Anolis sagrei: one gene and its partners. The protein of the gene in region 2 interacts with the protein of the main gene of each other region in a pairwise test. Links are inferred from orthologs where the notes say so. Each region holds a gene or a part of one and is shown on either strand. Other genes may lie near its edges.

Evidence for each region.
Region 1: the proteins of STK16 (region 2) and MIIP interact in binary tests that used the Homo sapiens proteins (3 or more experiments, as listed by UniProt). The two-hybrid records come from large-scale screens. The link is inferred for Anolis sagrei from reciprocal best matches to the Homo sapiens genes STK16 and MIIP.
Region 3: the proteins of STK16 (region 2) and TRIM42 interact in binary tests that used the Homo sapiens proteins (3 or more experiments, as listed by UniProt). The two-hybrid records come from large-scale screens. The link is inferred for Anolis sagrei from reciprocal best matches to the Homo sapiens genes STK16 and TRIM42.
Region 4: the proteins of STK16 (region 2) and KCTD14 interact in binary tests that used the Homo sapiens proteins (3 or more experiments, as listed by UniProt). The link is inferred for Anolis sagrei from reciprocal best matches to the Homo sapiens genes STK16 and KCTD14.

Annotation. Positions count from the first base shown.
Region 1 is NC_090033.1:7,882,051-7,889,638, forward strand, and holds the start of MIIP (migration and invasion-inhibitory protein), read left to right. Parts: upstream 1-4,584; 5' UTR 4,585-4,658; intron 4,659-6,938; 5' UTR 6,939-6,945; coding exon 6,946-7,056; intron 7,057-7,588. Other genes in the region: SDHB (succinate dehydrogenase [ubiquinone] iron-sulfur subunit, mitochondrial), read right to left, coding at 2,133-2,269.
Region 2 is NC_090021.1:230,318,239-230,325,559, reverse strand, and holds the start of STK16 (serine/threonine-protein kinase 16), read right to left. Parts: upstream 3,008-7,321; 5' UTR 2,916-3,007; intron 2,849-2,915; exon of another isoform or gene 2,680-2,848; intron 212-2,679; exon of another isoform or gene 1-211. UniProt on the Homo sapiens protein: Membrane-associated protein kinase that phosphorylates on serine and threonine residues. In vitro substrates include DRG1, ENO1 and EIF4EBP1. Also autophosphorylates. May be involved in secretory vesicle trafficking or intracellular signaling.
Region 3 is NC_090023.1:230,542,903-230,550,488, forward strand, and holds the start of TRIM42 (tripartite motif-containing protein 42), read left to right. Parts: upstream 1-4,569; coding exon 4,570-4,952; intron 4,953-7,586.
Region 4 is NC_090023.1:10,031,033-10,038,306, forward strand, and holds the start of KCTD14 (BTB/POZ domain-containing protein KCTD14), read right to left. Parts: upstream 3,013-7,274; 5' UTR 2,575-3,012; coding exon 2,515-2,574; intron 1-2,514.

The DNA of each region.
Region 1 (7,588 bases), on a different chromosome or scaffold from region 2:
TTCCGTGTATCCATTCCATTCAATTCGTCCATGTTTGTCGTCGGATCTTCCTTTAGCTGCCAGCATGTCCAAAAGCTTGGTCCCATATCCAGGTCTTCAGTTTTTTCCTGAACGTCTGAAGGGAGGTCGCTGATCTAATTTCCCCGGGGAGTGAGTTCCACAGGTGAGGGGCCACCACTGAGAAGGCCCTGCTCCTCGTCCCCGCCAACCTCACTTGTGACAGTGGCGGAGTCGAGAGCAGGGCCTCCCCGGATGATCTTAAATTTCGAGATGGGATGTAGAGGGAGATCCGTTCGGACAAATACACTGGGCCGGAACCATATAGGGTTTTGTAGGTTAAAACCAGCACTTTGAATTATGCTCGGAATTGGATCGGCAGCCCGTGGAACTGATGTAACAGGGGGGTGGTGTGCTCCCTGTACGTCGCTCCGGTGAGCAATCTGGTTGCTTCTCACTGGACTAGTTGTAGTTTCCGAGCAGTCTTCAAAGGCAACCCCACGTAGAGTGCGTTGCAGTAATCCAACCGGGATGTGACAAGAGCGTGGACCACCGTGGCCAGATCCGACTTCCCAAGGTACGGGCGCAGCTGGCGCACAAGTTTTAATTGTGCAAAAGCTCTCCCGGCCACCGCCGAGACCTGGGGTTCCAGGCTCAGCGATGAGTCCAGGATCACTCCCAAGCTGCGAACCTGCGTCTTCAGGGGGAGTGTAACCCCGTCTAACACAGGCTGTAACCCTATTCCCTGTTCGGCCTTACGACTGACCAGTAGGACCTCTGTCTTGTCTGGATTCAATTTCAATTTGAGTTGCCCCTGGGCTGAGAACAGCAGTCTATAAGCACAGTAAATAAATATTTATTTATTTATTTATTTATTTATTTGCTGCATTTATTAACCGCCGTTCTCAGCCCTAGGGTGACTCACGGCGGTGTACAACATATAAAAGACAATTTACAATAAAGCCAAGACGACAAAAAACCAACATATCACTAACGCACAATCATCTAATTATACTAAAAATAATCCGCTCCATCTTATCGTGGAATCATAACCAATCTCGTAGTCCATATACCGTTCCAGTTGTCATTCCAGTTACTGTAGCACTCAGTTAAATGCCTTCTCGAATAGCCATGTCTTCAGGCTCTTAAGGAAGGACATAAGGGAGGGCGCCTGTCTGATGTCAACAGGGAGGGTGTTCCACAGCCGGGGGGCCACCACCGAGAAGGCCCTCTCTCTCGTCCCCGCCAGACGTGCCTGTGAAGCAGGCGGGATCGAGAGAAGGGCCTCCCCAGACGATCTCAAAGTCCTCGTGGGCTCATAGGCCGAGATGCGGTCCGAAAGGTATTTTGGGCCGGAACCGTTTAGGGCTTTGTAGGATAACACCAGCACCTTAAATTGGGCCCGGTAGCAGATCGGCAGCCAGTGGAGCTGGAACAACAAGGGCGTTGTATGCTCCCTGCGTCCCGCTCCAGTTAGTAACATGGCTGCCGCGCGCTGGACTAGCTGAAGCTTCCGGGCCGTCTTCAAGGGCAGCCCCACGTAGAGAGCGTTGCAGTAGTCGAGGCAGGATGTGACCAGAGCGTGCACCACCGTGGCCAAGTCAGACTTCCCAAGGTACGGGCGCAGCTGGCGCACGAGCCTAAGCTGTGCAAATGCTCCCCTGGTCACCGCTGAAACCTGGGGATCCAGGCTCAACGATGAATCCAGGATCACACCCAAGCTGCGAACCTGCGCCTTCAAGGGGAGTGCGACCCCATCCAACACAGGCTGTAACCCTATGCCCTGTTCGGCCTTGCGACTGACCAGGAGTACCTCTGTCTTGTCTGGATTTAATTTCAGTTTGTATAATTTAATAATTTAAATTAATTTAATAATTTAATTTAATAATGTATAATTGTATAATTTCAGTTTGTCTTGTAATAAGCAAGAATAGCTCACTGGCCAGCTTGATTGGCGCTGAATGGCCTCGCAGCTTCAAAGCCTGGCTGCTTCCTGCCTGGGGGAAACGTCAGGAGAGGGTCAAGCAGCCCGGAAGACGCATATGACAACTCAAGGCCTACTCAAAGCACTCAAGTTGGTCAGGGAGTCAGGCGGTGCGCGCCTCTTTTCGGGCCCTCCCGCTGCGAGGACTCACTTGTTGAGGTCAACCTCGTAGGTCTGCATCCGGGGCTTCTCTCCGCGCTTGTCCGGGTCCCACCGGTACACCGCGAACCGCTTGATCCGCGCCGCCGTCGCCGCGCTCGCCCTCACCGCCGCGGTCACCGCCGCCATCTTGTCCTTTCCTTCTCTCCGGAAGGGTCCGTGGTAACCACTTCCGGTAAGGGCGGGGAAGGAGAAAAAGGGAGCACGCGTCCTAGAAAAGGCGGCCATCTTGGAAAGGGCCGTTCCTCAGTCCGCAACTATATAGAACTTCAGCCGGCGGCCATCTTGGGTAGGGCCCTTCTCAGTCCGCAGCTATATTGAACTTCAGCCGGCGGCCATCTTGGGAAGGGCACTTCTCAGTCCGCAGCTGTATTGAACTTCAGCCGGCGGCCATCTTGGGAAGGGCCCTTCTCAGTCCGCAGCTATATTGAACTTCAGCCGGCGGCCATCTTGGGAAGGGCCCTTCTCAGTCCGCAGCTATATTGAACTTCAGCCGGCGTCCATCTTGGGAAGGGCCCTTCTCAGTCCGCAGCTATATTGAACTTCAGCCGGCGGCCATCTTGGGAAGGGCCCTTCTCAGTCCGCAGCTATATTGAACTTCAGCCGGCGGCCATCTTGGGAAGGGGCAAGAAGCCTCAGCTGGCGGCCATCTTGGGTTCTCCCTCCCTTCGCTCCCAGGCTTCTCTAGGGAGGGAATCCCAAAGGTCATCCAGTCCAGCCCCCCCAAAAAGAGAAATAATAACAAAAAGTATTATCATATTATTATATTATATATAATTATATATTATATATTATTATATTAAATGATAATATATATAGATAGATAGATAGATATTATCATTATGCTCTTAACACTATTAGTACTTTTGTTCTATAATAGTAGGAAAAATTTAATATTATTAATCATATTAATGTTATATTATAATAATATTAGTATATTATATGTATTATTAATAATAGTATTATTACATTATATTTATTATCAATAATAACATCAGTATATTATATTTATTATTAATATTAACAATAATATTAGTATTAATCATATTAGTATTATATTATAGCAGTATAATAATATTAGTATATTATATGTATTATTAAAAATAGTATTATTACAGAAGAACAGAAGAAGAAGAAGAAGAAGAAGAAGAATTATCAATAATAACATCAGTATATGATATTTAATATTAACAATAATATTAGTATATATATTTATAAATATTATCAATTATATTAATATAATATAAGTATTAATACTATTAATATATTAGTATATTATAGTTATTAATAATGTTATTAATAATATTGGTATAATATAAATATTAATAATATTAGTATATTATATTTATTAGTAATGTTATTGTGAGTCGCCTTCGGGCTTGAGATACAGCGGTATATAAGCAAAGTAAATAAATAAAATATAAATATTAATAATATTAGTATATTCTATTTATTAATAATGCTATTAATAATATTGGTGACTCACGGCGGTTCACAAACAGTAAAAACAGTAGAAACAGCAGTGGTTCCATACAACATATAACAATTGACTTAACACATTATCCATAAATTACCAATAAGCAATTACAATGCACAATTATTACAAAAAACAACCGTACCCAATCTTCTCATCATCCAAGTGTAGTCCAGATTCGTCGTCCATTGTTCCATTCCTATGTTCCATTACCAGATTGCACTAAATTACTCAAACGCCTGCACAAACATCCAGGTCTTCACCTTTTTGCGGAATACCATTAGAGATGGTGCTAGTCTAATGTCCGTAGGAAGGGCGTTCCACAGCCGAGGAGCCACCACCGAGAAGGCCCTATCTCTCGTCCCCGCCAGCCGAGCTTGAGAAGCAGGTGGGATCGAGAGCAGGGTCTCCCCGGAAGATCTCAAAGTCCTGGTGGGTTCATAGGCAGAGATGCGGTCAGATAGGTAGCTTGGGCCGGAACCGTTTAGGGCTTTAAAGGCCAACGCCAGCACTTTGAATTCAGCCCGGTAGCAGATCGGTAGCCAGTGGAGTTGGCGCAACAGGGGGGTTGTATGCTCCCTGTGCTCCGCTCCTGTTAAAATCATGGCTGCCGAGCGTTGGACTAGTTGGAGCTTCCGAGCTGTCTTCAAAGGCAACCCCACGTAGAGAGCGTTGCAGTAGTCTAAACGGGATGTAACCAGAGCGTGGACTACCGTGGCCAAGTCAGACTTCCCAAGGTACGGGCGCAGCTGGCGCACAAGCTTTAGCTGTGCAAATGCTCCCCTGGTCACCGCCGAGACCTGAATGTTATTAATGATTAATAACATTAGTTATGTTATGGTGTAGATATTATTCTATTTCCATTACTACCATATTGTCCTATAAGGCACCCCACGTGGGCAAGGAAAGAGGTTGCGGCCCCTTTAAGAGGCGTGGAATGTGAAAAGGAAACCTCAGGCGGGAACTAGCCAATCAGGGCGCGAGGCGTTGCTTACGTCACAGGGAAACCAACGTTCAAGTCCTGGGCTTCTGTTGTGCTTTCAGGTTTGCATTGAAACACTCCTTATTGCTATTTATATTCCTATTCCACTCTTCCAACTATTATATGTACAGGCACAAATATATTTAATTTAAATATCCATTTGTTTTATGTTGCTGTGTGTCTAATTTATATATAGCTTGGGGACCCGGGTTGGTCTTTATCAGTTATTTATATGGCTCACAGTGGTCTCAGGAAGTTAGTGAAGGTACAGCGAGTCCCATCATCCATTGTCCATCCTCCTCCAAACTGCACCAGGATATAGAGTGGGTCATGGGGACTCTGTGTGCCAAGTTTGGTCTTGATCAGTCATTGGATGAGGGTCAAAGTGGTCTCAGAAAGTGAGTTAAGGTACTTAAAGTCCCATCATCCATAGTCTGTTTTCCCCCAAACCTCACCAGAATGTTGAGTTGGGCATGGGGGCTCTCTGTGTCAAGTTTGGTCTTTATTGGTATTTGGATGAGGGTTGTTGTGGTTTCAGGAAGTGAGTGAAGGTACTGCAAGTCCCATCATCCATCGTCCATCCTTCAAACAGCACCGGGATGCAGGGTGGGTCATGGGGGCTGTGTGTGCCAAGTTTGGTCTTGATCGGTCATTAGATGTGGGTTGCAGTGGAGTGGAGGTACTTTAAGTCCCATCATCCATGGTCTGTCCTCCAAACTGCACCAGGGTGTACAGTGGGTCATTGGGGTTCTGTGTGCCAAGTTTGGTCTTGATCGGTCATTAGATGTGGGTTGCAGTGGAGTGGAGGTACTTTAAGTCCCATCATCCATGGTCTGTCCTCCAAACTGCACTAGGGTGTACAGTGGGTCATTGGGGTTCTGTGTGCCAAGTTTGGTCTTGATCGGTCATTAATGAGGGTTATAGTATCCTTGGGAAGTGAGTGGAGGTACTTGAAGTTCCATCATCCATGGTCTGTCCTCCTCAAAAGTGTGTGCCAAGTTTGGTCTTGATTAGTCATTGGCGAGGGTCTCAGAAAATGAGTGAGGTTACTGCAAATCCCATCATCCATCTCCATTTTTTTCCAAATGACACCAGGACATAAAGTGCGTCATGAGAGGTCTATGTGCCAAGTTTGGTCTTGATCAGTCATTGGATGAGGTTTGCAGAGGTCTCAGAATGTGAGTGAAGGGACTTCAAGTCCCATCATCCATGGTATGCCCTACTCCAAACCGCAGTGGGATGTAGAGTGGGTCATGGGGGCTCTGTGTGCCAAGTTTGGATTTGATCGGACATTAGATGAGGGTTGCAGCAGTCTTGGGAAGGGAGTGGAGGTACTTGAAGTCCTATCATCCATGGTCTGTCCTCCTTGAAAGTGCACCAGGATGTAGAGTGGGTCATGGGGACACTATGTGCCAAGTTTGGTCTTGATCAGTCATTGGCGAGGATCTCAGTGGTCTCAGGAAGTGAGTGAAGTGACTGCAAGTCCCATCATCCATTGTCAAATTCTTCCAAACCGCGCCAGGATGTAGAGTGGGTCATGCGGGTTCTCTGTGTAAATTGTGGTCCTGATCCATCATTGTTGGCAGTTGTAATGGTCTTAGGAAGGGAGTGCAGGTATTGCAACTCCCATCGTCCATGGTGCATCCTCCTTTAAACTGCACCAGGATGTAGAGTGTGTCATGGAGACTCAGTGTGCCAAGTTTGGTCTTTATCGGTAATTGGATGAGGGTTGCAGTGGTCTCAGGAATTGAGCAAAGGTACTGCAAGTCCCATAATCCATGGTCCACCAAACCACACCGGGACGTAAAGTGGGTCATGAGAGGTCTATGTGCCAAGTTTGGTCCTGATCAGTCATTGGATGAGGTTAACAGCGGTCTCAGAATGTGAGTGATGGGACTGCAAGTCCCATCATCCATGGTTCATCCTCCTCCAAACTGCAGTAGGATGTCGAGTGGGTCTTGCGGGCTCTGTGTGCCAAGTTTGGTCTGTAGTGGTAATTTTCTGACTCCGCCCCTCTCTTTGTCATCTCGGAATCTTGGAATTGGGGCTGGCCAATCAGAGACCATATGCAAATTTCCTTCTCATGTCCCCGTTTCTTTTCTCCACCAGGGGCTCCTATTGAAGCTGGCCAATCAGAGACCATATGCAAATAGCACCACAGCGGCAGCCAATCAGAACGCTGGCACATACTCCTCCCACCACACTTTTGTCCTCCGCATACAAACTTTGACTTTTATTATATAGATAGATAGATATATATATAAATATAGATAATAGTAACCAACTTACTTAATCAATAATAATAATAATAATAATAATAATAATCTTACTATTTCTGGAAGCCGGAAGATGGACTTGGAGAAGCTTCGCCTCTTGAACCAGGATCTCTTGCAGAAGCTGAAAGCGAACCAAGAAGCCTTAGGGAAGCGAGTCCCATCGTCCACAACCCTGCAGAAGGAGGTATGATAGGAAGGGGACCCCAAAGGTCCTCCAGTCCGATCATAGGGTTGGAAGGGTCCCCAAGGCTCATCTAGTCCAATCGTAGAGATGGGACCTCCAAAGATCATCTAGTCCGATCATAGCGTTGGAAGGGACCCCTAAGGTCATCTAGTCCGATCATAGAGGTGGAAGGTGACCCCAAAGATCATCTAGTCTGATTACAGCAGTGGAAGGGAACCCCAATGGTCATCTAGTCAAATTGTAGGGCTGGAAGGGACCCCCAAAGGTCATCTACTCTGAGTACAGAGATGAAAGTGACCCCAAAACTCATCTAGTCCAATCTTGGGGTTGGAAGGGACCCCAAAAGTCATCTAGCCCTATCTTAGAGATGGAAGGGACCTGTAAAGGTCATCTAGTCCAATCATGGGGTTATAAGGGAACCTGAAGGCCATCTTGTCCAATTCTAGAGATGGTAGGGATCTCCAAAGGTCATCTAGTCCAGTCATACAGATAGAAGTGACCCCAAAGATCATCTAGTTTGATCATGGAAGGG
Region 2 (7,321 bases):
ATTACAGGGGTGTTAACTCTTTCCTATGTATCCAAATCATATACACATACATATTTGGCTGGAGTTATAAATTCAACTTAAGAACAAACCTACAGAACCTATCTGGTTTGTAACTTGGGGAACTGCGTGTATATGTATACAGGGATGAGACAATAGGAAGTGTATATGAAGTTCCTAGAACCATAAGTAAAGGTAAAGGTTTCCCCTGACATTAAGTCTAGTCATGTCCAACTCGGGGGGGGGGAGGGTTGCTCATCTCAATTTCTCAGCCAAAGAACTGAGGTTGTCCGTAGACACCTCCAAGATCATGTGGCCAGCATGACTGTATGGATGCCGTTACCTCCCTGCAGAAGCAGTAGCTATTGATCTACTCACATTTTTATGTTTTTGAACTGCTAGGTTGGCAGAAGATGAGCCTAACAGTGGGAGCTGACCCCGCTTTGAACCACCCTTTCGGTCAGCAAGTTCACATCTCAGCTGTTTAACCCGCTGCGCCACCCGGGTTAAAAAATTAACACTTAATAACTCATTCTTGAAAAGGAGACAATTATGAGAGATCATTATGAAATAAATGGAAAGCACTCTACAAACAGAATCATTTGATGCCTGCATGCCAACCCCTTGGCATGCAGGCATCAAAGCACTCTCGACAAATGGCCATCCAGCTTCTGCTTAAAAACCTCCAGCAAAGGAGACTCAACCACACTCTGAGGCAGCATACTCCACTGCCATACAGCGTTTACCATCAGGAAGTTCTTTCTAAAGTTTAGGTAGAATCTCTTTTCCTGCAATTTGAATCCATTGCTCTTTGTCCTATTTTCCAGAAGATAAGCCTGCTCTCTCTTTCTAATGACATCCTTTCAAATATTTAAACATGGCCATCATGTCCCCTTTCAGCGTTCTCTTCTCCAAGCTAAACACCCCCCGCTTCTCATAGGGTTTGGTTTCCAAACGTTTGATCATTTCAGTTGCCCTTCTTAAACACGTTCCAGCTTGCCAATATCTTTCTTGAATTGTGGTGCCCATACAGTAAATGGACACAGTATTCCAGGTGAGATCTGACCAAAGCAGAATAGAGTGGGACTATGACTTCCCTCGAGCTTGACACTACTGATACAGCCTAAAATCACATTGGCTCTTTTAGCTGCTGCATAACACTGCTGACTGTTGCTTGTAGTTCCTCTGAGACTCCAACATCCCTTCCACATGGACTGATGTCAAGCCAAGTGTCACTTCTCCTATATCTGTGAATTCAATTTTATTGCCTAAATGTAGTACCTCACATTTGATCCTGTCGAAATTCATTGGGTTGCATTGAGCCCTGCTCCCAACCTGCTAAGGGGTGCATCTACACTGTAGAATACTTCAGGAAATAAAGCCTGACTGTTCATTGGAGGGAAGGATATTAGAGGCAAAAATGAAGTACTTTGGCCACATAATGAGAAGACAGGAAAGCTTGGAGAAGACAATGATGTTGGGGAAAATGGAAGGAAAAAGGAAGAGGGGCAAACCAAGGGCAAGATGGATGGATGGTATCCTTGAAGTAATTGGCTAGACTCTGAAGGAGCTTGGGGTGACCACGGCAGACAGGGAGATCTGGCGTGGGCTGGTCGATGAGGTCACAAAGAGTTGGAAGCAATTAAACAAATAAACAATAACAACAACACTGTAGAATGAATGCGGTTTGGACTGCTGTGGTTCAGAGCTATGAAATCATTTATTTATTTATTTATTTATTTACATTATTTCTATCCTGCCCATTTCAGTCCATTTCAGGGCGGTACTCATGGTAGTTGGAGCCCCAGTGGCGCAATGGGTTAAACCAGGGGTCCTCAAACTAAGTCCCGAGGACTGGATACGGCCCTCCAAGGTCATTTACCCGGCCCTTGTTCAGTGTCAACCTAAGACTGAAACAACTTGAAAGCACACAACAACAACAGCAACATCAATCCTATCTCATCAGCCAAAAGCAGGCCCACACTTCCCATTGAAATACTAATAAGTTTGTAATTGTTAAAATTGTTCTTCATTTTAAATACCATATTGTTTTAAGTGTTTTATTTTTATTTATTTTTTGCACTACAAATAAGATATGCACAGTGTGGATAGGAATTCATTCATGCTTTTTTTCAAATTATAATCTGGCCCTCCAACAATTTGAGCGACTGTGACCTGGCCCTTTGTTTAAAATGTTTGAGGACCCTTGGGTTAAACCATTGTGCTGGCAGGACTGAAGACCAACAGGTAGGAGGTTCAAATCTGGAGAGAGAGCACAGATGAGCTCCCTCTGTCAGCTCCAGCTCCCCGTGTGGGGACAAGAGAGAAGCCTCCCATAAGGATGGTAAAACAGCAAAAACATCCAGGCGTCCCCTGGGCAACAGCCTTTGTTGTTGTTGTTCATTCGTTCAGTCGTCTCCGACTCTTCGGGCAACAGCCTTGCTGACAGCCAATTCTCTCATACCAGAAGCGACTTGCAGTTTCTCAAGTCGCTCCTGATACGGAAAAAAAAATGGTAGCTGTAGTTTAACAAAGCCTTTATCAGCCTTCTCTTTCCAAGAGGGCTGGTACCCTCACCAATACAACCCCTAGGATTCCACAAAACCGAGCCATGGCAGTTAAAGCAGTGCAAAGCCGGGTTAATTCTGCAGTGTGAATGCACCCCCATTCCCTTTCGCACACCCTGCTGCCATGTCAGGTGTCACCCATCCTATTGCTGGCTCAGAGGAAGTGGGAAGAAAGAACCTCCTCCTGCTCTGGAAACCCCGAGGCCTTTTCCCCTGGCCCTCCGGCGCCCTAGAGGCAGGAAGTACGGAAGGCCCATCTGTAGCCTTTCCCGAAGCCCCGCCCCCTGGCAAGGCCCGGCGGGAGGGAGGGAGGGAGAGAAAGAGCGGGCGGGCGGGCCGCCATCCACTCACCGGGTCCAGTCCAGCGCGCGGAGGATGCCTACGCACGCAGCGTGCGACGCCAGCCACACATTCTGCCCGGCCACGTCATTATCCTGCGCCTTCTGCGCTGCTGCCTGCCTGCCTGGCAGAGGTTGCCTAGCAACTGTTCTCGAGGGTGGGGAGGCGGAGGAAGAGAGAGTGAGGGGACAGGCAAGGAGTGAGCTCAGCTCATTCTGGTCCCGTGCATTTCTTCACATTCAGAAGTCTTTTATCACACCAGTGGTAAAAGACTTCTGCACAGCATTATCGTTGTATGTGGTGCTTTGCACCTAAAAGAACCCCTAAGCATTTTCCAGCTTTCAGAGTCACAATTTAAGAGGACACCTATACTGTGGAATGTATGCAGTCTGACACCACTTGAAAGGCCCTGGCTCAATTCTATAGAATCGTGGGAATTGTAGTTTTACAAGACTTCAGTCCTTCTCTGCCAAAGAGTGCTGGAGCCTCATCAAACTACAGCTCCCATGATTCCCTAGCATTTTATTTATTTATTTGACTTGTATACCGCCACTCCCAATTTGGCTCGGAGCGGTTTACAGAAGTAGATTAAAACAATACAACCAACTTTAAAATACAATAAAAACGAGAACCGACTTAGTCCTGAGTTATTCACCCATCGAAAGCTTGTTGGAAAAGAAAGGTCTTACAGGCTTTCTGAAAAGCAAGTAGCTCTTGGGTGGTTCGGGTTTCAACTGGCAAGGCATTCCATAAATAAGGGGCCACAACCGAGATGGCTCTCTGCCTAGTAGAGGACAGATGATAAGTCCAGATGTTGGGGACTTCAAGCAAATTTTGGTCCTCGGACCAAAGTAATCTCTGGGGTTGGTAGGGGGTTAAGCATTGAGCCAGGGCAGTTCAAGTGTGTCCACTGCATTAGTTCTACGGTGTAGACGCACCCTAATTTTACGTGGATTTCAGCTTCTGCAAGAGCCAAAGGTTCGGGACTTGGTGTGTCAAGCTTCCCGGAAGGCCGGATGAGACACAGATGGATCGAAGGCAAAATGAAAGGCATTATTCTCAGTGGCCTCAATGACGTCATCGCTGGTTGGTCTTCGTTGTGGCGGAAACTTTAATAAACTGATAACACTGAAATCAAACAATTTAAAGCAACTGTGTATAGCGAAACCTGTAATGTGCATACCAAGTCCCAGTAAGTGGATACTGGTACTGGATGTAGGCCGCTTCTGGATCCCTGTGCCTGGCAAGACAAAGAAGCTATTCCAATGTCCCAAATAAATCAAACCAAGTTGAAGAAGAAGCTACTGAGGGATTTTATTCAAATCAGTTGAAATGATGCCAGCTCACGGTAGTCCGCCAAAGTATGCTGAGATGCCATACAGTTCAAAACATACATTTTTATAGACAGAAACCCTTTGAAATTCCCGCTCCTGCCCCAGCTGGAACTGGCCCCGCCATGATTGGCTAAGCTCCATGGACATCATGAACAGCTGAGGGAGGATTCCCTGCAGAGGCAGGGCTGCATCTCTTGCATCTCTTGCCAGCCAATGGGAGAACATTCCCCGGTTCCAATGCAGATTCTCATTCCCCAATGGCTGACAAGGGGCAGGCTAGTTCAGGAGACAAAGTACAGTTGGATGAATAACTTTTGTCGCATTGAGGGACAGAACAAAGAGAGGCTATCAAGTCCATGCATTCTATGGAATGTCTTTGTGTTTCTGAGTGACCCAATCAAGTTGGGCCCAGCATCCGCAGTGCTCATGTCCATTGTATTTCCTGCAGAGTATTGTCCAACAAGGCATGACTTTTCAATTGTTGGGATGTCATGCCAGGTGATGAGTGTCTTTGTCCAAGTAGCTGCACAAAGGACAGGCGGCCCATACCTTGGATTCCTGTTGTCCTCTGCACAGCTGGAGTTATGGGGCCAGTAGAGATGGACTGGCCCGAAGATGATGGGTGATTGAATCCTTAATTATTAATATGATGCCCATGAAAATTGCTGGAGGGGATTTCCTGGATCATGAGGTGCTGGAGAATGGTCACCAGAAGGTCTTGATTGGTGGTTTCATATCAAAAAATGTTTTTATTCATAAAAATATAAAATGTACACATTAAATGGGAAAAATAGGGGTCCATGGATACTGGGGACTCCTACCGAGGGAACCAGGGCACCCACAGGAGTGGGGGAGTTGGCAAAGTGGTTGACGGACATGAGGGGGGTGGTTAGTGTGGGGGAGAGTGAGAGAATAAGCCCATTTCTGAGGGCCATGTGGCCCAAGTGGCCACCAGGCCGGCTGCAGAGGGTGAAGACAGGAGAAAAAGATACTCAGGAGGCAAGGAAGATGCATGGAGACAGACATAGAGGATAACACACTTTGTGGCACATTTATTTAGGGTTAGAAAGCAATATAACTAAGCAAATGGGGAAAGTGTTCTAAAAGTTTCCTGGGTGTTGATAGCTGCTGCAGGGCTCTTCCAGACCCTCAATCACCCGCAAAAAGGAATATTGCCAAATAAAAGATCCTTGTTAGCTGTAGCTTGTCCCTGCCGTAGACCCAGTAAAACAATATAATTTGACCCGGGGGGGGGGGGGGTGGTCCATGCTCAACAACAATGGTATGACTGACACAAAACAAAATAAGGGACAACTGATCAGCAGATACTGTCTCCATCTTCTGAGGCCACATCCGTGGCAGTTAGGATGGAGTGAGGGCCTTTTATCTGCTGGGCCCAGGCATGGTGGAAGTAAAAAAATAAAGTTCCAAGTAAATGCTCTTTGGCAGCCAGTGCAGTGTTGTGGTTTGGGTGTTGGACTATGAGTCTGGAGATCAGGTTTAAATCCCGTCTTGGCCATGGAAACCTCTTGGGTGACCTTAGATGAGGCACTCTTTCAGCCACAGAAAAACCCATAATGGACTCAACATAGGGTTGTCATAAGCCGGAAGAGACTTGAAAGCACACAATAACAACAAAGGCACTTTGGTGTGTAGTCTCAGCCACAAAAACTGACGGATACCTTAGTAGCTATCCACGTTCAGTCTCATTTACCTCAGATGGGTGAGGTGAAGTTAATCACAAAGCCATTATGGATACATCCTCAGAATCATACTGTATTTAAAACAATTAGCATCCTTGCCTTCTCTCAGGGAACTTGATATGCACATCATCTTGCTGCACTTTCCATTTTATTCTTACAAAAAAAAAACCCTGTGCAGTTTGTCTCTAGAGCTATCAATTTATTTTCTGTCTGTGTCAGGAATTGGAGGCAGGTTTCACCTCTGAAATTTAAGCACTGAAGACACCAAAAAGAAAAAAAGAAGTTGACAAGCATTATGGAAACTGATGATTAATACTAATATTTTTCACTTCTCTAATATGATTATTATGGCGAATTATTCAAATACCGACCAAGTAAACCCCCCTATGCTGAGAATTTGACCATTTTTAATCAACACCATACAGTGAGGCTGGCAAGGTCCATATTGTGCAGAAGATTCTTTCCTATTGTGAGATGGCGCAGAATGCAGTGATGCCAATGATGGTGTGGTCTTGGCATGGTGCACGCTGCACAGAGATCACCTTGAGCTGAAGCAAAGGGTTCCTGTTGCTGAATGGGCACAGTGACTATACAAGGCCACAGATAAGTTGCTGAAGGTTGGATAAAACTAATTTGGGTGTGCATCAAAATACGAATTTTTCAAAGGGCAAAAAAGAGAATGAATATGTACAATTAAATAGTGAAACTGTAACATAATTACAGTGTAGCAATTACATGTATCAAGTACTTAAATGAAACTATATCCAGTCTTAAAAATGTCTGTTTGAGCATCACGTTTTGCCAAGTTTTCTAATTCTGTGACGATAATATGGACATAGCTTGCTTGGAATTGGTTCAAAAAACTAACAAATCCATGTGTTAATTTAAAATTGTTTTAAAATTTGTTTTTATTGTGCTACAACTGGATTTTTAACCTGTTTATTTACTAGCTTTAGTGCCTGGTGATGACTGGATTAGGTAATTTGTAATGCTAGTTATTAGAATTTAGGAATGGTCCCATTCGAAAGTGCATAAACTACCACTTCATCATCCCTGGTCCATCTCCCCTAAATAGCATCAATTAAAATTGGTCAGGATGAGTATGTATGCCAAGTTCGTTCTAGAGAGCCATTATTGGTGAGGTTCACAGTGTTCTTTGATTGTGGGAGACCTGCAACTCCAATTGTCTTAGGTCCAACCCCACCCCCAAACACCAGCAGTAAAGTTGGTCATGATGGCATGTGTGCCAAGTTTGGTCAGTTACCATCATTGGTGGGGGTCACAGTCATCTCTGGATGTAGACAGACTACAACTTGTTTTGTCCTGGGTCACCCCCCCCCCCCCCCACAATTCCCTCCCATGGGGCATTTGTGTGCCAAGT
Region 3 (7,586 bases), on a different chromosome or scaffold from region 2:
CCAGAACTCAATTTTTTGTCTTGCCCCATTTTTCCAAAGGAAAGAGATAAAAAACTTAATAGAAATACTATGCAAACAAAAAGATATCTTTTGAAACAAAAGCCTATTGGCTATGAGTGCCTCATGTGAACATATAATTTGTAAAAATATAAATGTGGAGATGATAGATAGCTACTAATGGCAATGCACAAAGTCAAATAAAGCTTCCATACTCCATTTATGCTGATTATGAATGGATGAATCTCTTGTACATACATATCAGGTAGGCATGTTCAGAATTATCACACCCCATGAACTTCCAGAATGTGATAAAGCTTTGAGAATATTTTCAAGATTCAAGATTGAAGAAGACAACCAGCATACCAGTACTTAAACAACACTTACTAATTGCCAAAAAAGAGAGAAAGAATTAAAATGGCACTGGCTGACATATAAAGTTACATAACTTAACAGGTCATTTAGGATTCTGGTATTTATTTTTAATTAGTGGTATCCAAACTTAATATAATCTCTGATGAGAATGGATATATTTTTTCTGCTTAGTTTGCCAGAAAATTTTGCTGTCACTGTCCTTATATTAAAGGACCATATTTGTTCACAAAGGCTGTGATGTCGTAATCCTAGTGGGCTAAGGTGGGGTAATCTCCTGACTCTTTAGGGATATGTGAAAAATTGCATGGATCCATCAACCTCACATTCAAAAGCTTTCAGCCAGAAGCCTGTTGGGACCTTCCATTTTTATAAGTGGAGTTACATCTGTGGGAATTAATACTGAACTGTTCTGAAATCTATCATCATCATCATCATCATCATCATCATCATCATCATCATCATCATCATCATCCAAAGCTGCTGTTTTGTTACAATGAAATAGAGTGAACAGATGTTATGTTACTATGTAATAGAATGAGCAAAGTAATGGATGTGCAATGAGATTATGCACAATGGGATGTGGATTGCATATCCCAGCACACATTGCATCAGTCTCTATGCACATTGGGCACCACAGATACACTCTTATTGGTGTCCTGTTAGACATATTTCCTATTCAATAAAGGGATTTCTTAAGATCCCTGTAATGTAGCTAGATACAGGCAGTCCTCAAGTTACAAACAAGATAGACTCAAGTTACAAACAAGATAGTTTATTCTTAAGTTGAATTTGTATGTAAGTCAGAACAGGTACATATTGTAAGTGTAACTCCAGCCATATATACACAAGATAGGTTCTATAAGTTTATTCTTAAGTTGATCAGTTAGGATTCTAGTGTTCATTTTTAATTAGTGGTACTCAAAGCTTACAGAAAGGAGGATGGATGTAATTTGCTGCCTAGTTTGCCAGAAAATCTTGATAGTTGCTTTATGTATGGAACCACCATAAACAATCCATGGGAAACTGCTTGATTCCAGGTCAGATTATTTTATTGCCTATCCAAAATAGTTCCCCATAATCTATCTCTCAGAAAAGACAAAATAAGATAAGCGAAAATATATTTTTAGGAGCAAAAAATGAAAAATGTGAAACAAAATGGGATAATGTCATATGTTTGGGGGAAAAAACCCTACAATTTAAGCAGTGTTCTTTCTCAAAATATTTCATCAATTTTTCCCTGAGATCCAGAATTGTGTAATTGTTTAAGCATTGGACTATGATTCTGGAGACAAGAATGCACATCCCTGCATGGTCATGGAAACCCATTGGCTTCATTTTATGGTTGCCATAAGCTACAAATGACATGAAGGCACACAACAAACACATTTTTCCCATGTGAACTTTTATCTGTATCTTGGGGATAAGTGGGAAATCAATTATTGACTTTGTCCTTTTAGATTTAGGCTCAGAACAAAAATGGCTTATTTTCCCTGGCAGTGGCTCCAAATGCTTTCAGGAGATTAGGTTATTTGCACCATTCTCTCCTTCAGTTGGAAATGTCAAGGATTCAATCTGAGAACATTTGAATTCAAAATCAGGACTGGCTCTACAGAGAGTTACCTCAGATGAGAGAGGCTGTGAGGCAGCAGCAATAAGCTGGTTTCTAAGCAGCTTGGGTCAAAACAGCTGGAAGATAATTAGCCTGCCCTGTGTTCTGCAAAAATTGCTTCGTTCACATTCAACAAAATAGGATCAATAAATCTTCAGGACAAGTCAATTGATCAATATTCAGTAATTATAGTGGAGCCCTGGTGGTGCAATGGGTTAAACCTTGAGCCGGCAGAACTGCTGACTGAAAGGTTGGTGGTTTGAATCTGGGGAGTGGGGTGAGCTCCTATCTGTAACTCCAGCTTCTCATGCAGGGACATGAGAGGAGCCTCCCACAGGATGGCAAAACATCTGGATGTCCATTGGGCGACATCCTTGCAGGCAGCCAATTCTCTCACACCAGAAGTTACTTGCAGTTTCTCAAGTTGCTCCTGACATTAAAAAAAGTAATTATAGTACCTTCCTAGATCATAAAATATGAACAATGATAGGTTAGAAACCTCTCCCAAATCCTGGGTTCCAGCATATTTCCAAATATCCTATCTTGCAAGCATCATAGTAGACCCCAAATTTCTTTTCAAATCTTTGCTGGATGACATTAGGAAAATGTGCTCCCCCCATCACTGTTTGATGGTAAGCAATTGCTTCGTTCTATTGCTAGGCATGGGAACAAAAATAGCATTATATTAGCATAATCAGATCCCTGATTATCTGCTTATCCCAGATTATCTGGCAGTGTAGATTCATATAATCCAGTTCAAATCATATAACTTGGGTTCAGATCCTGGGATACAGAGCAGCATAAATCTAGCCCTAAAGATGATTCAGCCAATAAAATTTAACACAAAGTCTCACTCAACTGTTAATAGGCCCATGGCCCCAAAATAAGAGAGAATAAGGTTTTTAAACAGTGTTTTAGTTTGCTCTGTTATTATATTTTTAACCTGTACTTTGTTTTCAGATGCCATTGGTAAAGTTAATTAATGCATGTACTAAAGGTATTCCTCAGATCCACACTGCAAGAAGACAGCTTCTATTCTAGAAAGCTTGGAAGCAATAGCTAGGTGACCTTATTAGGGTTTCCATATCTTAAAGCTTATTTACTCTTTATTTATTTATTTATTTATTTGCTTTATTTTTATACCGCATTTTTCAGCCTAATTCGGCGACTCTTTTCTAGATATGAGATTGAGGGGAAGGAATCTTGGGGTTAAACAGGTGTGTGTTTGTATTTTCTTCATTTGTTAGACCATTTTTCAAAATGAATTGCATGTTCTGTTCTTCTACTGCTGTTGATGCTTGATATATCATGCATAATGATATCACCAGTCCCTGTGTCCTGTGACATCAACATGATGTCATCAGTAACTCTCAGGTTCTGGACCTGAGATTTCAGGGATACTATCAGGGGTAGTAACCTTAGTCTTCACAGATGAAAATATAGAAAATGGAGCCTTTTAGTCCACTTTAGTCTCTTAATTTCCATGGGTTATTGTTTCCTAGAAGTCCTGCTAGATGGACATATTTTCCAGTCTTTTAGTATTAATTTGATACTTGTATATTGTTCAGAAATAATTCAGACAACACCCAGAAACCCAGCTCTAATTACCAAATGATCTCATCAGAAGCTCACAAACCAGTTTATGAGTAGCATCTGTAACGGAAATATCAGTTGCATGTTAAATGCAGTAGTATTATGCAGCAATTCCTGAAGCACTCACAAAGACTGTCTTTTTGGTTGGAATGACTGATAATGTCTTATGCCTGGTAGCCAGAGAAATATAATTCATTATATCAGTATCAGTTATAAAGAAAAAGAAATGTTAATCAATCCAGTTTTCACCCAAAACAATAACTGTAACCCACTGTAAGTATCCAAAGACGACTCTGTGGAGCCAGCGTAGACAATTGAGATTGCCTAGACATGTATTTTGTAAGACAAGAGGAGACATTGTGTTGGCACATAAGAAATAGTTAGAGCAGCAATACAATACTGAGTTCTTATTGTATTTTAATGTTTCCAGTAAATGTGATATTTTGTCTCTCAGTCTAGTGATCACATGCACTGTTACCCAGAATGAACATGCCCTCATCCTCAGAATCATGACTTTACTTTAATTTCTGATTGGCTCAGAAGTAGAGTATTTATAGCTCTAATATTTCTGTTTCTTTTATAATAACAAAACATTGGCAAAACAATAGAGAATACTAAATCAAATGATAGCCAAAATTAATGTATTTACATAAATCATGTCATTTTAAGATTCCATGCTGACATCATCCTGTTGACCAGAGAAAGTGCAATTTTTATCAGAGTAATACAATGATCCTCATTGCATTATTTCTTGTGCAGTTTAGTCATATGAACATATCAGTGCAGGAATCTCAAGTGCTTTAGTCATTATGACATACATTATGACACTGCTTTCATTGGTAAAACCCATTGTGATGCCACATTTTCTTCCCAAGTGATCAGTATTTTCTCCAGAGGTCCAAAATAAAGTATGGGGCAGTTGCTCTGCAAACATAAACAGCAAGTAAAGCTTTCTAGGACTAAAAAAAGGGAAACCTTAAATATCTGGGAAGACCATGACTGCCATGAGCTGTGCATGTTGCTGGACATGCCCATGTTGCCCAGGTTGTAAATGTTGTGGATTCTGCATCAAGTTTCGAGACTTTGTGAATAATATAACCTCTGGCAGATGCTGCTCTTGTTGGCTGTTCTTATTTAGTGATGAGCGGCAGTGGGACTGCTGTTTTTGCCCACATCGTGAAGATTCAAGGTGCCAGTGCTGCCACTGTTCATGCTCGGAGAATCCGAATTGCCGCTGTTGCTGTTGCTCCTGTTCTACTAATCGAAATTGCAAGTGTTTGTGCTGTACAGATGCAAATACTGAGTGTCAGTGTTATGACAGTAGATGCTGCAGTTATCTCTCCTATTTGCCATATAGGCGTAAACATAAACTGAAAAGGTAAGTGTTGTAAAACTAAAATGTTAAGGATCACAGTCCTGTACTTGTACACTTACATCAGGGTGTTACTCCATCAACCCCAGTAATGACTATCTGACTGACAGCACATCTCAAATGTTTCAAGTAAATGACCTTTTGGAGTGAGGTGTGTGTGTGTGTGTGTGTGTGTGTGAAGGCATTGCTCCCTCCATAAAAATTCCTTCAGTTTTCAAACTTCTAGTATTGGTAATTAAAACTTTAGTTCAGTATTTAGTAATGGAGTTTAGGCATTCAAAGGAAAGGGGCAGCCAAAGTTAACCAGGGAATGCAAACACAGCAAATATAAGGATTCTAGGCTCAAACAATTTCAGTGTCTAACTTATTGCATGGCTGGAATTTATTTTGTTGTGCCTTCAAGTCATTTTTGTCTTATGGTGACCTAAAGTTAACTTATCAACTTTTTTTGAGATTGAGTGTCTGGCTCATCCAAAGCCACTCAGTGAGTTTCTATGGCTAAGAGGGAAATTGATCTCCAGTCTTCAGAGTCATGGTCCAGTGCACACACAACTACAGTGGAAATTTTCATGAAGGGGCAGAATTCTTAGTGGGAGGCAATGTCTCAATTTTGCATACGCACAGAGTCATTTTGTTACACCTCTGAGTCTTTACCATCATTAGGCATTCGATTTGAAATCAAAACCAATCTGGAGTTGCTGTGGACTGAACTTGAGGCATACAGCATGCAAAATGGAATTTACATATGAGCATGGACAAAATAACTTCTTCAGAAGGATTTAGTATACATTCAGAGCCTGGGAATGGGATAGTCAGCTTTTTGAGCTCTAAATCCCAGAATGCCCCAGGATTAAAGAAATGCTAATTGCTTCTATACATGGAAAGAATGATAAGGAGAGGACAGGACCAAGATGTAAAGCACACACACTGTTTTTCATAAAATTGGATGTTGGGGAGGCTACACTTTGCTAACAAATATACATATTCAAAATCAATGTCAAAATTAAAAATATATTAGTGAAATTGAGGGCCACTTACATAAAATGAGATGTGAGTGAATGATAAGATTATAAAATTCAATAATCCTGATCCCAGTCATGGATGTTTTATATTTTTTAAAAAAAAATCCACACAACTTTTAACTGAAGGAAACTTTTGAAGAGGGATTTTTCTGCCTTCCCAGTTCATGAAGACAGTAATCAGGTTTATTCAGCAAAACCTATTTTGTAGTGAAGTGCTTGATATGATCCTTTATTACTGTCTCCATTCACTTTTAGAAAATAGATTACTTGGTTTAACCCACTTTTTACAATTCTCAGTTTTAAACCATGGCAAACCAAGACTTAAGAACAGTTGCCAGTGGCAGTGCTGAATAGTACTTAAAAGATGGAAACCTAAGCCCATTTCATTTCAACTTACTGGATGCTTTAGGCAACTTAATGTTAACCCTCTTTCTCTGCTTGAGAAATTAGTTGTAGGTATTACCTGAACTCCACAGGTCAAAGTTAACCTCCATTTTTTAGAGTTCCCCTATCTATTTTTTTATTAACTCACACAATGCACAATAAACAAGTCAGATTTTATGTTATTTGGGATCTGTTGGTCCAGGACCAAACCCATTTATATCAATAACAGCTTCATCATATTGTTGACAAGCTCTGACCTCATCAAAGCTTGGAAAAGTTACTGCATTGGATGGAAGCTCCCCGCATCTCCATACTAGCTCAGGGATTCACCATTCAACCAAGTAATTTTTCTATGTTCTACAGCTGATATATGAACTCTAGACTAGGACTTCTTTGGGGAGATGGGGTGGGATATAAATAAAGATATTTTTATTGTTGCTATTATTAAATTTTTCAACTTCGGACCCCTTTTGGCCCAAGACAATTTTACATGATCCTGGGTATATAAGTATATAAAATAGGTAAAAATATCAAACATATATGGATAACACAACATCATTTTTAAGTGGGTTGTTGTAGGTTTTTTCAGGCTATATGGCCATGTTCTAGAGGCATTTTTAAGGCTTGCTGCCCCTGGTGGTGCAGTGAGTTAAAGCACTGAGGTGCTGAACTCGCTGACAAAAGGTCACAGGTTTGAATCTGGGGAGCAGCATGAGCTTCCACTGTTAGCCCCAGCTTCTGCCAACCTAGCAGTTCAAAAACATGCAAATGTGAGTAGATCAATAGGTACCGCTCCGGTGGGAAAGTAACAGTGCTCCATGCAGTCATGCCGGCCACATGACCTAGGAGGTGTCTACAGATAATGCTGGCTCTTCAGTTTAGAAATGGAGATGAGCATTGGACTTAATGTCAGGGGAAAACCTTTACCTTTAAACAGTTTTTAATGAAGCATCTTATGTAGAGTCCATTGTAAATGCTGGACAAATTTGTGTAAATTTCTAAAACAGTAACTAAATGGCAGTCAGAAAATTATTACTGTTGCCAGTTTTTGACGACACCAACATTGAGTTAAAGGGATCTTATTTGGGGTTGTGATCCACAGTTTAAGAAGTCATATTCTAGACCAGTTTTTACTTGTACAACTAGTAAAGAAAACTATCTCCTTCATTCACCAATAATTTGACTTTTAAAAAATAATTCTGTTCTGAAAACTTGTATGGTATTTTTCTCTGTC
Region 4 (7,274 bases), on a different chromosome or scaffold from region 2:
CCCCTGGGCAACGTCCTTGCAGACGGCCAGTTCTCTCACACCAGAAGCAACTTGCGGTTTCTAAAGTTGTTCCAGACATGGAAAAAAATAGCTACTTTGACAGATTCCTTTGCCATTGATTTAATTTACTGTTTTGTCACTCGAAGACTGGTGGATTGTTTTCTCTCCAGGATCAAAATGTCTCACGACAAAGCTGGGAAAAGAGAGGGGAGGAGAGAGGTTAACCTGGAGGAGGTGAGGAATCTCTGTTTATATTACAGGTGTTGGCATGTCATGACATATACATATGATTGATTATGGCACACGCCCAAATGTTGTTCATTATATACACATAGAATATATACTGTAGATACTTGAGTGTATGCCTAGTTTTTCAGCCTTTTTTAAGGCTGAAAAAGCCCCCCTCGTCTTATCCTCGAGTCAAAGTTATTTATTATTTTAGTCTGTTATTATTATTATTATTATTACATTTACATTATTTTATCCTATTATTATTATTATGACATTTATTATTTTACTCTATCATTGTTATTATTACATTTACATTATTTTACTCTATTTATTATTATTATGTTTACATTATTTTATCCTATTATTATTATTACTACTACATTTATTATTTTACTCTATTATTGTTCTTATTACATTTACATTATTTTATCCTATTATTATTATTATTACATTTATTATTTTACTCTATTATTGTTCTTATTACATTTACATTATTTTACTCTATTATTATTATTACACTTACATTATTTTATCCTATTATTGTTACATTTATTATTTTACTCTATTATTATTATTACACTTACATTATTTTATCCTATTATTACATTTATTATTTTACTCTATTATTGTCATTATTACATTTACATCATTTTATTCTATTATTTTATTGCATTTATTATTTTACTCTATTTATTATTATTACATTTACATTATTTTATCCTATAATTATTACATTTATTATTTTACTCTATTATTGTCATTATTACATTTACATCTGGGGGATCGCAAGGGGGTGTCAGATGGGTCACCAAAGACAATCAGAAAACATAGTATTTTCTGTTGGTCATAGGGGTTCTGTATGAGAATCTGATCAAATTCTGTCATTGGTGGGGTTCAGAATGTTCTTTGATTGTAGGTGAACTATAAATCTCAGCAACTACAACTCCCAAATGTCAAGGCCTATTTTCCCCAAACTCCACCAGTGTTCACATTTGGGCATATTGAGTGTTCGTGTAGAGTTTGGTCCAGATCCATCATTGTTTGAGTCCAGAGTGATTTCTGGCTGTAGGTGAACTGCAACTCCAAAATTCAAGGTCAGTGCCCACCCAAACCCTTCCAGTATTTTCTGTTCGTCGTGGAAGTTCTGTGTCCAAGTTTGGTTCAATTCCATCATTGGTGGAGTTCAGAATGCTTTTTTTAATTGTAGGTGAACTATAAATCCCAGCAATGACAACTCCCAAATGTCAAGGTCTATTTTCCCCAAACTACACCAGTGTTCATGTTTGGGCATATTGAGTATTTATGCCAAATTTGGTCCGTATCCATCATTGTTTGAGTCCACAGTGCTCTGTGGCTGTAGGTGAACTACAACTCCAAAATTCAAGGTCAATGCCCACCAAACCCTTCCAGTATTTTCTGTTCATTGTGGAAGTTCAGTGTGCCAAGTTTGGTTCAATTCCATCATTGGTGGAACTCAGAATGCTTTTTTGATTGTAAGTGAACTATAAATCCCAGCAACGACAACTCCCAAATGTCAAGGTCTATTTCCCCTAAACTCTACCAGTGTTCACATTTGAGCATATTGAGTATTTATGCCAAATTTGGTCCGTATCCATCTTTGTTTGAGTCCACAGTGCTCTATGTTCCATTGGTCATGGGAGTTCTGTGTGCCAAGTTTGGTTCAGTTCCATCATTGGTGGAGTTCAGAATGCTTTTTTGGTTGTAGGCAAACTATAAATCCCAGCAACGACAACTCCCAAATGTCAAGGTCTATTTTCCCTAAACTCCACCAGTGTTCACATTTGAGCATATTCAGTATTAGTATTTATGCCAAATTTGGTCCGTATCCATCATTGTTTGAGTCCACAGTGCTCTATGTTCTATTGGTCATGGGAGTTCTGTGTGCCAAGTCTGGTCCAATTCCACCATTGTTGGAGTTCAGAATGCTTTTTTGATTGTAGGTGAACTGTAAATCCCAGCAACTACAGCTCCTCCCCCCAAATTTGGGCATATTTTGTCCAGTGAATGAAAATACATCCTGCATATCAGATATTGACATTACGATTCATAACAGTAGCAAAATTACAGTTACGAAGTAGCAACGGAAATAATGTTATGGTTGGGGGTCACCACAACATGAGGAACTGTATTAAGGGGTCGCAGCATTAGGAAGCACTGTTGTAGTGTCTCACTCTTTGCAATGGAAGGAACTTTCTTATGTGGGGCATCAAATTTAGGGGTGCAATTTAACTCTCTTCTAAACCCTTGTCTTTTCTCACTCACCGTTTGGAGACTGTTTACATTTTGTTTTGGGAAGGATTTGGGTTCCGAGGAAATGCTCATCCTTCCTTCTGCCCCTCCAGGAAGACGGCCAGAGAAATCCACAGGTGTGTAGGCAAGACAGGTGCAGAGACTTATTTCTTGTTTCTCTCTCTGTAATCTCTCTCTATCAGAACCTGGTAGTAACTCATACACTTGCAGTGGTGTCTGTCCCGCTGCCACTCCGCAGCCACAGGTTACAAGTGCATTGGAGAGTCTGCAGGCGGAAGTATTTGTCACTCTTCTGGCAACGAGCCTTTTTGGAGAGCGAAGGCATTCATGCGCCAGGAAGGAAAGTAGCCGTCCAGCATTCTCACTGCTCCTTCTCTCCCACCTTCCTGACACACAAACACACACATTAGTCAGCTGTGACTAATAGCCAGGTCAAGAAATCAGTTCCTCCCATTCTCGACCCCTCCGAAGACACACAACTCAACTCGGTTGGCATCGCCTAAAGCACCACCTTTGTGTGAGTGTCATTTGCTGAACCGGTTACACCCTCATTCCAGGGCTTAATACCCAGCCTGACTTCTGCCCTTTTATTTTAAAGAAACAGTATGTTTACTTGGGGGGAAAGGTCGCAATTTAGTGGAATTATGGAGCAGAAGGGATTATCCCAGGCATGGCCCAAGGGTGTATCTGTACTATATAGCAGTTTGATGCTGCTTTAACTGATGAAGCGGACAACCCAGGAAATCCAGGAATCAATCTTCAGGAAGGGAGGACTTTTATTTGATTATTCCACCGCTGCCACCCATTAATATGTGGCAAACACTGATTAATGCGTAGCGTGGCGTGGCTGAGTATTTTTATATTATACCTATTAGCTGTACCCACCACGCATTGCTGTGGCCAAGCTTCCCTCCCTCTTTCTCTCCTTTCTTTCTTTCTTTCTTTCTTTCTTTCTTTCTTTCTTTCTTTCTCTCCTTCCTTCCCTTTTTTTTCTTACCCTTCCCTCTTTTCCTTCTTCTTCCTTCCTTCTCTGTTTCTTTCTTCGCTTACTTTCCTCTTTGGTTCCATCCTTCCTTGTCTCTTTTCTTCCTTCCCTCTTTCTTCCTCTCTTTCGTTCCTTCTCTCCTTCCTTCCCCCTCTCTTTCCTTCCTTCTTTCACTTTTTATTTACTTTTGCCCTTCCTTCCTTCTCTACCTTTCTCTCTTTCCTTTCTTCTCTCTTTCCCTCCTTCTCTTTCCTTCCAATTCTGGGCACCACAGTTCAAGAGAGATATTGACAAGCTGGAATGTGTCCAGAGGAGGGTGATTAAAATGATCAAGGGTCTGGAGAACAAGCCCTATGAGGAGCGGCTTAGGGAACTGGGCATGTTTAGCCTGAAGAAGAGAAGGCTGAGAGGAGACGTGATTGCCATGTATAAATATGTGAGAGGAAGCCACAGGGAGGAGGGAGCAAGCTTGTTTTCTGCTTCCCTGGAGACTAGGGCACGAAACAATGGCTTCAAACTACAAGAGAGGAGATTCCATCTGAACATGAGGAAGAACTTCCTGACTGTGAGAGCCGTTCAGCAGTGGAACTCTCTGCCCCGGAGTGTGGTGGAGGCTCCTTCTTTGGAAGCATTTAAACAGAGGCTGGATGGCCATCTGTCAGGGGTGATTTGAATGCAATATTCCTGCTTCTTGGCAGGGGGTTGGACTGGATGGCCCATGAGGTCTCTTCCAACTCTTTGATTCTATGATTCTTTCACTCTTTCTCTTCCTCCTCTCCTTCCTTCCTTCCCCCTTTCTGTGTATATGTGTTTTGTGTGTGCATATATGTGTGTTTATATTTGTGGATATGTGTATATATGTGTGTTTGTGTATATATGTGCTTTTGGGCATGAGTTGTAATGTATTTTTTTTGGTTTTTTGGCTTTAAAAGTCTCTTTTGCTGTGTTTTTCAATGTTTTTATGAGTGATGGTCACTCGTTGGCCTAATAAGCGTATTGTGTCCATCCAGCCTCTGTTTAGAAGCCTTCATAGACAAAGCCTCCACTACACTTTGGGACAGAGAGTTCCACTGCTGAACAGCTCTCACAGTCAGAAAGTTCTTCTTAATGTTCAGGTAGAATCTCCTTTCCTGCAGTTTGAAGCCATTGTTTATATATGGCCCTCATCATGTCTCCTCTCAGCCTTCTCTTCTTCAAGCTAAACATACCAACTCTTTAAGCCACTCCTCATAGGGTTTGTTCTCCAGACCCTTGATCATTTTAGTCGCCCTCCTCTGGACACATTCCAGCTTGTCAACATCTCTCTTCAATTGTGGTGCCCAGAATTGGACACAGGATTCCAGGTGTGGTCTAACCAAGGCAGAATAGAGCATGGGGAGCATGACCTCCCTAGATCGAGATACTAGACTCCTATTGGTGCAGGCCAAAATCCCATTGGCTTTTTTTAGCTGCAGCAACACATTGTTGGCTCATGTTTAACTTGTTGTCCACAAGGATTTCTTTTTCACATGTCCCCCAGCCTCTGTTTCAAGGAAGACCCCACCAGACTCCCAAGGAAACATATTCCATTGTCAAAAAAGTTCTTACTATCAAGACAGTATTGGGAATTGTAGTTCAACAAGGTCTTCAGCCATCTCTGGCAAAGTGCTGCTGTCACACAAAACTAAAACTCCCAGGATGCCATAGCAGTGAGCCCTGAGAGTTCAAGTGGTGTCAAACTGATTTAATTCTACAGTGTAGATGCACACTAGGAGGACAATAGAAATGGCTGGCCCATGACGCATCCAAAGGTGATAACCAAGGTGGAGTACTTTTGGAACACATTCTGAAGCTTTGTTTGCCAAGGCTGGTCACCATTCTATGAATCTGATACCACTCCTTTCCATAATGGAGGGAAACACCCTGGATTCCTGACTTTTTATTGCCATAGAAAAATCTCAGTGGCGAACCTTGTTCCAGAGCCAAGGGGAAAATGTGCCATACCTGTCAATCAGAAAAGTGACTATGGACCTGTAAACAAACTTGGGCCCCCTGGTTGCACAGTGGGTTAAACCACTGAGCTGCTGAACCTCCTGATTGAAAGGTCAGTGCTTCAAATCGGGGGAGTGGGGTAAGCTCCTGCTGTTAGCCCCAGCATCTGCCAACCTAGCAGTTCAAAAACATGCAAATGTGAGTAGATCAATAGGTACCACTTCGGAGGGAAGGTACCTATGTGCATGGAGTCATGCTGGCCACATGACCTTGGAGGTGTCTACGGACAATGCCAGCTTAGTAATGGAGATGAGCACCACCCTCCAGAGTCGGACACGACTGGACTTAATGTCAAGGGGAAACCTTTACCTTTATTTTAACAAACTTATTATCAAGCGGCAATCTCAATCACACTTCTCCCCATAGTCTATGCGTGCATCTACATCAGGTGTGATGACATGCCCGAGCCTTTGGGAAAACTATATCGTCTGGCTTTACTTGTTAGCTATCTGATACCTTCTGTTAAAATTAAGACCCTTAGAAGACAGACACACTTTGAGGCAAGGTGAAAAGATAACCAAATGAGTTTACTGAAACAAGATGAGTAAAGGGTTAACTCCACTCAGGACTAGCATAAGGTAAGTTAAAACAATACATTACAAAAGGGGATTTTGCTGGTTGCAGCCATCTTTCTGGAATCTTTGAAAGTCTTTTGCCTCTGGCGCAAAGCGATGGTTATAAACTGTCTCAATCTTCTTCCTTATGAAACTTAGGCTGGCCAAAAGCTTCTGTTGTCCTGTGGACAGATGGTGTAAAAATACTGCTAAATGCAGGTGCTAAGGATGCCTGTTTTTGGATTGCTTGGCCTAGGATTACTAGACAATGCCCCAAGTCTCTAGTGACTGTAGAAAAGGGAGGAGCCCAGCAAGAGAGCTCTATACAGGGAAATGGAATAGACTAACTAAGGCTGGCTTCTGGGGGGTGTTATGCTCCACCCAAAACTAATACAAAGGAAGGTGTCTACACTATTAGGAAATTCTATGAACAGGGGAAACTGAAGCAAAGGAGAGGAAAAGGCAGTTTTGGACTTCAACTCCCACAATTCCTAACAGCCTACTGGCTATTAGGAATTATGGGAGTTGAGGTCCCATATACCTGGAGGCAGGGGCAGCTCAACCCATTACGCAAAGTAAGCATTTGCAGTATAGTTTGTTTTGTCCAGGGGCGCTCTTGAGGTGCTCTTGGGGGAAAATAGACCTTGACATATGTGAGTTGTAGTTACTGGGATGTATAGTTCACCTACAACCAAAGAGCATTCTGAACTCCACCAAGGATGGAATTGAACCAAATATGGCACAGAGAACTCCCACAACGAACAGAAAATATATATCAGTGATTGGTTGGTTGGGGCGCCAAAATACTGTTTGCTTACCATTGAAAATTACCTAGGGCCGCCTTTGCCTGGAGGGCTGAAGTTTGCCCATGCCTGATCTACACTGTAGAATCGATGGAATTTGACACTACTTTGACTACCATAACTTAGTGCTACGGAATCGTGAGAGCTGTAGTTTGGTGAGGGACCAGCATTCTTTGGAAGAGAATGCTAAATACCTTGCAAAACTACAACTCCCATGACTCCATAGCATTGAGCTGGGGTAGCTAAAGTGATGCCAAACTGCATCAGTTCTTCACCGTAGATATCGATGTACTCTGAATGAGGAGAAACCTGTACTAACTTTTATAGCAATAGGTTCGGATGACCCTCCGTATCCACGGGTTCCGTATCCACAGGTTCTGTATCCATGGGTTCAACCAG